2 linked regions of the Cricetulus griseus genome follow. The protein of the gene in region 2 purifies or fractionates together with the protein of the main gene of each other region. This does not show direct contact. Links are inferred from orthologs where the notes say so. Each region holds a gene or a part of one and is shown on either strand. Other genes may lie near its edges.

Region 1 (3,905 bases), on a different chromosome or scaffold from region 2:
CTAGTGTGTAGAAGGCATCCTCCACACCCTGGGAACAGAGGGACTGGATCAGAGGGGACTCCAAGGAGGAAAGGGGTGCTGTTTGGGTAAGAAACTCCCTGCCTGGATCAGGTAACACCCCAACCCTGGAAAACAACCCTTCCTCGGCTGCACAACCAACACAAATAGGGAGCTGGGCTCTGCACATCTAAAAGGCACAGGACCACTCTCCTTAAGTAGGCTCACTCTGGAATATCCTTCAGAGCAACTCGACTCAGAACTCTCCCAGACCCCCAGTATGGCTCAGGTCTGAACACCCTGCCCATACTTAGGGCTCAAAACTAACAGGTACTCATAGGACACTATGAGGACAAGAAGGACTAGGCTCCTGGGTCACCGCTCCGGCCTGGCTCAGGGCAGCTCTCTCCATGGACCCCCTCCTGCCCTGGCGCTGTGTCAACCCAGAACTGCAGGGCATAAGCCCAGACCCTGGCCCTTGCCTCCCTCACAGCCCTGCCGTCTGGGAGACTTACAGCATGGGGGCCGCTGGGTCACATGGGTCCCGGGGGGGTCCCAGAGGGTCCCGGAGCTGGAGCCAGAGCCAGAGCGGCTGCCCTGTGTTGAGGGAGAGGGGCGATGAGCTCTGCTCCCTGGCTGGGGTGGGGTGGGGTGAATCCCTGACTAGCTATGGAGTGGGGAGCAAGCTCACCTGCCGGGTCTTGGCTGATGTTTCAATGTAGGGGATGCCATAGCTGCGGGCAAGGTCCTGGGCCTGCCGAGACTCAACAGTTCGAGCAGCCAGGTCACATTTGTTCCCCACCAGCACCATTGGCACATCGTCTGAGTCTTTCACCCGCTTGATCTGCTCCCTGGAAGGGGATGGGGAGTATGTGAGCCAGCTAGCAGGTTACAGGCATGGCTGTACCCAGGACACTCAGAAGACATAAACCCTCAGTGTGCACATGGAACCTTCCTCACCTGTGCTAGCCATAGGTGGCTCACCTGTACTGATGGATGTCTTCAAAGGACTTGGTGTTGTTGATGGCAAACACACAGAGGAAGCCCTCCCCTGTGCGCATGTACTGGTCCCTCATGGCACTATACTCCTCTTGACCTGCTGTGTCTAAGATGTCCAGCAGACATGTCTCCCCATCAATGACCACCTGTTTCCGGTAGGAGTCCTGTAAAAAAAACAGAGCTTAGGCGTTCCACCTCTCCTCAGAGAATCCACAGAGCCCACCCACCCTTGCACCTCTCATGTTCTGATAGATTAGGTGGCAGCAGACCCATACCACCTGCAAGACCTAGCTATGTGGGCCTTCCTGACTCTTCCATGACCACTGCCAGAGCCAGGTAGCCAGAGCTCACCTCTATGGTGGGGTCATACTCGTCCACAAAATGGTTCTGGATCAGCTGGATGGTCAGGGCACTCTTTCCCACGCCTCCAGCGCCCACCACCACGAGCTTGTATTCTGTCATCGCTTCTATAGAGGCTGCCACTCCAGGAGCTCCTGCCCCACCTGCCAATGAGAGCCACACTTATCCAGGCCCGGGCCACTTGAGACTGCTAGTAGATGCCTGACCCAAAGGCCCTAACCAGCATTGAGCAGGCAGGCCAGCCACCACAGTGGCCCAGTCACTCACCTGTGGCACCTCCAGCTGGGACAGGGAGGCCCCCCACCTCCTCCACCAGCACTTAATGGCTGTGTGAGGAAGCAGGGAGAGGCCCCCAAGGCAGGGCTGACAGCTGAGAGCTTCTCCCAACCACGCACCCAAATTAGAAGTCGCTAGGTAGGCAGAAAGCCTCAACGGGAGGTGCCTGAGGGCTGAGGCCACCCCCCAAAAACAGGTCCTGCCACGGCGGACTCAGCGTGCCCAGGCAGGCCAGTGCCAGCCTACAACCGGCTCCGGCCCGCCGGCATGTGGGTGCAACCGACAAGTATTTACTGAGCGCCTACTGCATGCCAGGCGCGGTCCGGGCAGCGGGGGAAGGGTGGCTGGAGAGGGACCCTGCCCTCCGCTGAGACAGACCTTCCACAAGAGGCCAGGGAGCCTTCAGCAAGCAGGGGTGGAAAAGCGGCTGAGGGTGTGGGAAGCAGGTGACTGCGGGAAAGACTCACAAGGGGCGCGAGGGGTGACTGGGGAACAGAAGGCCCTGATTGGGGCCTGAAGCGGGTGTCCTTGTAGCCCCGAGGCCGGAGCGTGATGGCCGCGGGGCGCAGAGTCTCCGGAGGCCCGGGCGGCGCCTCGCCGGGAGGGCGGCTACAGGCGGGGCGGGCCGGGCCGGGCCGCAGAGGCGGGCAGCCGGGCGCTAGGCACGCTGCCGGGGTGAGAGGAGAGGGGAAGCACCGATCACCTGCGCCCCGCGCCCCACCCCACGCCCGCACTCACCGCTTGCTGGAGTGACTGCCCCCGGGGCCGGGGCCGGGGCAGGGTGGGGGCGCGGACCGGCGCTGGCTGGGCCGCGCATGAGCTCCGTCCGCGGCGGGTGCGGCTCGGGCTGCGGGCGCCGGGCGCGGACGGCGGGGACTCGGCCGGGCCCGCGCTCGCCCCGCCCCGCTCCGCCCCGTCCGTCAACTCTAGACAGTCGGTGATTGGTCGAGCTCCGCCTCACCGCGACCTGTTGTGGTTGGCTGAGCGACCCATCCGTCAGGAGCCGCAGCTAGGCGGGGCTTCCTGGAGTAGCAGAGAGAGCGCTGTCGCGACCTGGGTACTGCACTCAAATGAGTGACGCCTAGTTCCGAGGTGCGGAAGAGAATGAGGGAACCCGAGATTCCTCCGGAGAGAAACTGGGGTACGCTCGGGTTGGGTCGCGGGGCCTGCCACAGAGCCCACACTCTGCAGCCGCTCCAGAGGCCCAAAGGCCCTGGGAGCGGAAAGGTCATTCCGACCGGGACCTGGCGTCGGGGACAGTCAGCACCGCGGACGCGGGATACCAGAGGAAGGCAGAACCCGCCGGAACCCCAAGCTGCCTGTTCTCGGAGGCCGAGGTGTAGCGAAGGCCCCATCCCGAGGCAGCATCGGCCCATCACACCGCGCTCCTTGTGCTTTGGAGAAGACCCTCCCTTACCTCCCCCAAAACTCGAGGTCCCAACCCTGCAGCAGCTCATACTGTGCCCCATTTGAAGAACGACCCCGGAAGTCAGAAAAGTTGGTATTAGGGCGAAATGAAATGTTCCATCCACTCATGCAAGTAGGGTACATCTGTGTCAGACGCAAATGACATGTTTGCAACTTTTTGAAAATTTCAAAGAAACGAGTAAGAACGTCCTCCTTAGAAAACCGACAGGGCTTTCTCAGGTGATGCAGGCCTGGGGACGCGCGCTCACGTGTATCCCGGGGTGAGAGCTAGGCTCGGCCGATGCGGCCAGCAGTCAGATAACCCAGAGCGGGACAGAAACCTCTCACGGGCAACTCTCCGAACCTCTGTGGGCGTCTTCTCATCCGTCTCGCTTGCCTGCCACTCAGGGGAACCCTGCCACCGGATCTGCCGCGTGTCCCGGCAACCGTTGCTAGGGGGCGGGGCTCATCCTGCCGCAGCCCCGGATGCCCGCGGCTCACGAATATTTGGGTATTCAAATGAGGCCCCGCCCCCGTTGCCATGGCGCCAGGGCCGCAACCCCACCGCGGAGGAAAAAATAAAAAAAACCCTCACTTGAGAGAGCGACCGCCTTGGTGGAGGGGTCCAGGGCTGGGCCCCTGGTCTCGGGCATCCTGGCCCACCCCTCAGGTGAGAGCTGCCTCTTCATGTCCCTTGTGCTAGGGGAAACCTGGAGTGGGGCCTACATCTTTTGGGGCAAGACACACTGGACTGAGTAAGCAATAAACCATGAAGTGCAGTGGAAAGAGGTAACTCTTACTACAAAAATGTATCTGGGAAAGACAGGTAAGAAGTGCAGGAGTTAGAGGTCGGCCAAACCTGGATG
Region 2 (3,905 bases):
CACTTAATTTAGATATTAAATGCTTCCAGACATGTTTAGAAATTTTCCTACTAAAATGACAGCCTAGAAAGAAGTCTAATAAAGGTCAAATAAAATATCCAAGTCAGTAATATTTATTTTCCTCTTAAACCAACAGTTAGTGATTTTCCAGTCTGTATAAGGGAAACTTATAACTCCCAACCAACTTATTTTGGAAAAAGTTCTGCTACTTAATTAATGGGCCAGTAATGAGGGGGGGGGTATAAAACCGACATTGACTGAACACTAGGTATTTTGCCAACATCTTTACATAAATTACTCTTGGTTATCGTGACTATTATAAAAACTCTGTTTTATACAGAAGAGAAAACAGTAAAAAAACAAGATTCAAGTGTAAACATCTGCCACCAAGTTAATTTACTCCTCCACCGTCTCCTAGGCTACAGTACTCTCCCTTCAACCATGGAGTTTATGTTCCTGAAACCCTGGAACAACAAAGTGGACACTGTAATTATCTAATGTACAGGGCAGTTGGTACAGATTGCCTTCAGAGATAAGGAACACACACTTCTCAGAATAGCAGTCAAGAGTGAACCAGAGCGCAAGGAAACTGGTCTATTTTGGGGGGGTAATGAATTACAGGATCTTTTCAGTTAGCCAGGTCTCTGAACATGTGGCCCACAGCCACTAGCGACCAGAACTCAGGAAGAGGAAAGGACAGAGAAATTAAAGATGGAGCTCAAAGAGGCAGCTTAGGATCAGATCTCAGGAAACCTGAATAATGTCCCTCCAAGTCCTCTAAAATCTCAGGATCGAGCCAGGCCGTGGTGGTGCACACCTTTAATCCCAGCACTCCGGAGGCAGAGGCAGGTGGATCTCTGTGAGTTTGAGGCCAGCCTGGTCTACAAAGCTACACAGAGAAACACTGGAAAAACAACAAAAAACAAAAAAACCCTCAGCATCCTGTGTTCCAACAAGCAGGGCCCGGAAATGTCTTCCAACTGGTGGAAATCTCACCTGCTTTCTCTTCAACAGGAACAAAAGTCCCATTGTGGAAGGCAAAGATTTTATCAGCTCTAAATTTTCAGTCTCAAACTCTTGTGATGTGTTGGGGAGGTGGGTTGGGGGACTACACCACACACAACCAGCTTTTACAAGACACAGGATTCAGGCAACATTGCAAAGTGCATAGATGGTAGGGGAAGAAATCACACACCCCCATTGGACTCTCCCTACCTAGGCACAGAAATGGGAGTCTGAGGTCCAGAAAGATCCAGCAACTCAATTACCCCCCCCTGCCCCCGAAAGAAATGCAAACAGAACTTTTCCTGCCTTCCCCATCAGATTTTTTTTCTTCAATCAACTTAACGTTAAAGGGGAGGGCCTCATTTTTTCAACTTTTAAAAATTACGGCAAAATACGAATACGAAATTTATCATTGTGACTTTTTTTTTTTTTAATTGATATTTTGAGATTGGGGAGGGAGCCCGGGCTGGTCTCCAATTCACTACATTGTCCAAGCTAGCTTTGAACTCGCAGTAATCCCCCTGCCTCAGGAGCAATCTCAACGCGCCGAACTCTGGCAATTTCCAAGCACACAGTTTACGTGGTATTAAACACTCTCAGAATGGAGTGACCACCACGGCGGTCCACGTGCAGAACGGAAGCTCCAACACTGTAGCTTCCCCCTAAAACAATGCAGCTCCTACTCCCAGTAGCCCCCGGCAACTTGTGGGGCATGTATACCCTCACATCGCCGGGGCTAGAACTGGCAGGCTACGGAGTGGACTGGGGGACCGCCGCGCGGCAGGGGCATCTTTCGAACCACACCCACTCGGGAGGAGGGAAGTCGGTACCCCTGGAGCAAGCCGGCTCGCGGATTTCATCAGACTGCAGCAACCCCGGCTGCCGCTAGGGTCCGGGAAAGGCGGACCTCTCCGCACCCTTCCCTGCGGCGGCGGCGGCGCAACGCTGTCCCCTGGGCAAGCGTCCGCATCTCCACGTGTGCCCCGGTGCCACGTCGCCCCACCACACCCCTCCCTCCGTTAGCGGCGGGTCCCGCGCCGGAAAGATGCTCAGGGAGGGAGGACATCTGTCCCCGCCGCGCTCCGCGACCCCGCGGACCCACTCCCCGACACACTCACCGCACTGCCGCCAGGTGGAAGGGCTGCAGGCGCGGGTGGCAGCCGGGCGCGGGGCGCAGCAACCGCACAGCCAACGCGGATAACAGAGAGGATGAAGCCATGGCCCGCGCCGGTGCCCGCGCCGGAGAGAAGCGCGCGCGCGGGCCACGAAGCTATACCTCCGGCCCGCGGAAGCCCCGCCTTTCCACACGCCCATTGGTCCCTGAGCCGGAGGCGGAGCCAATAGGAGGTCTCCATTTTACGTAAGCCGGCCCGGGACCACGTCCTGATTGGCTGAGGGAGTCAAGCCCCTAATAGAGGCAGCAGAGGTTCTCTTCCCCCCCCCCCAGCCAGGCCAACCGAATCTGGGGTTCATTCATTCATTCAGTCATTCATTCATCGAACAAAAGTCTGAACCACCTACTGTGTGCCGAGGATCTGAAAATCACTAAAGTAATATTTATTTTTAAAGAAAAAAAATCACCACTTGGCAAAATCATACTGAAAATTGATCCGCAATCATCAAAGGATGTCAAAACAACTGAGTGAAAACTTGAATAAGGAGCAAAATACTTACATGTATGTTTGTCACATAGGAGCTGGAGAGACGGCTCAGCGGTTAAGATTGCTTGTAGCCCTTGCAAAGGACCCAAGTTCGATTTTAAGCCTCCTAGTGGCTCCAAACCTCTTGTGACTCCAGCTCCAGAGGACCAGACACTTCTGGCCTCCAAGGACACCCTTACACACACATGTGGCATACATACACATACATACATACATACACATACATACATACATACACATACATACATACATACATACTTACAGAGGATCAGATATTTTCTGACCTCCAAGGGCATGCACACAAGAGACATACACATAATAAAAAGCATTTTTTTTAATTTTGCGGGGGCGGAGAGGGGGGGCGCTGGAGAGATGGCTCAGCGGTTAAGAGCACTGCCTGATCTTCCAAAGGTCCTGAGTTCAATTCCCAGCAACCACGTGGTGGCTCACAACCATCTGTAGTGAAATCTGGTGCCATCTTCTGGCCTGCACGCAGACATACATGAAGTCAGAACACTGTGTACATAATAAATAAATAAATCTTTTTTAAAAATCTGAAAATTAATTTACAGACTTTCCTAAACTAGTAAGACTCCCATGGATTTAGAGGGAGCTGGGAGACCCACTTCTGGGTGTGTCTGTGAGAGGTTTAACTGAGGAGGAAAAGTCCACCTATCCCACAGACTGGGGACTGGAGATCAATAAAATGGGGGAAAGGAGAAAGCCTGCCTGTGTTTCCCCACTCTGACCCCCCATCTATTGAGATGTGAGCCAGCAGCCTCAGGCGCCCATTACCACAGCTGGGAGCTTCTCTGCCTCCCCCACAACAGTGGGCTGTATATCCCCACACTACCTGCCAGTATGAATGCTTCTTCCCTTAGGTTCCATCTTGTCAGGTAGAGGATCACAACATTGAGAAAATTAACTAATTAATCCCCTAAAAAGTACTAGGCATTTCTCATTTCTATGTGGAGAAGAAAGATCATAGGCTTGGACAGTAAACACTGTCCAGCAAAAGAAAAAACATGTTCCTGAAACTTTGGAATAACATAGATTATCTTAATCTATTTACAAGGAGATATCAAACAAATGACACACAGACGCCAAGTGGCAGTTCTGTGTTCATCTGGCGTACCAGGTACGCCGGTATGAGGTGTGTCAATTACAGTCTTCAAAAGTGCCAAGATCATGGTAGAATGAGGAGGTGTTCCAGATTCAAGTTCATGATCACAAAATACA

Evidence for each region.
Region 1: the proteins of Mthfd2 (region 2) and Hras purify together in Homo sapiens (co-immunoprecipitation; 4 studies listed by BioGRID and IntAct, with this or other methods). This does not show direct contact. The link is inferred for Cricetulus griseus from reciprocal best matches to the Homo sapiens genes MTHFD2 and HRAS.

What each region holds. Positions count from the first base shown.
Region 1 is NC_048596.1:59,992,114-59,996,018, reverse strand, and holds the start of Hras (GTPase HRas), read right to left. Parts: upstream 2,525-3,905; 5' UTR 2,450-2,524; coding exon 2,371-2,449; intron 1,500-2,370; coding exon 1,348-1,499; intron 1,161-1,347; coding exon 982-1,160; intron 849-981; coding exon 689-848; intron 595-688; coding exon of another isoform or gene 513-594; intron 29-512; coding exon 1-28. UniProt on the Homo sapiens protein: Involved in the activation of Ras protein signal transduction. Ras proteins bind GDP/GTP and possess intrinsic GTPase activity.
Region 2 is NC_048601.1:74,799,365-74,803,269, reverse strand, and holds the start of Mthfd2 (bifunctional methylenetetrahydrofolate dehydrogenase/cyclohydrolase, mitochondrial), read right to left. Parts: upstream 2,283-3,905; 5' UTR 2,225-2,282; coding exon 2,124-2,224; intron 1-2,123. UniProt on the Homo sapiens protein: Although its dehydrogenase activity is NAD-specific, it can also utilize NADP at a reduced efficiency.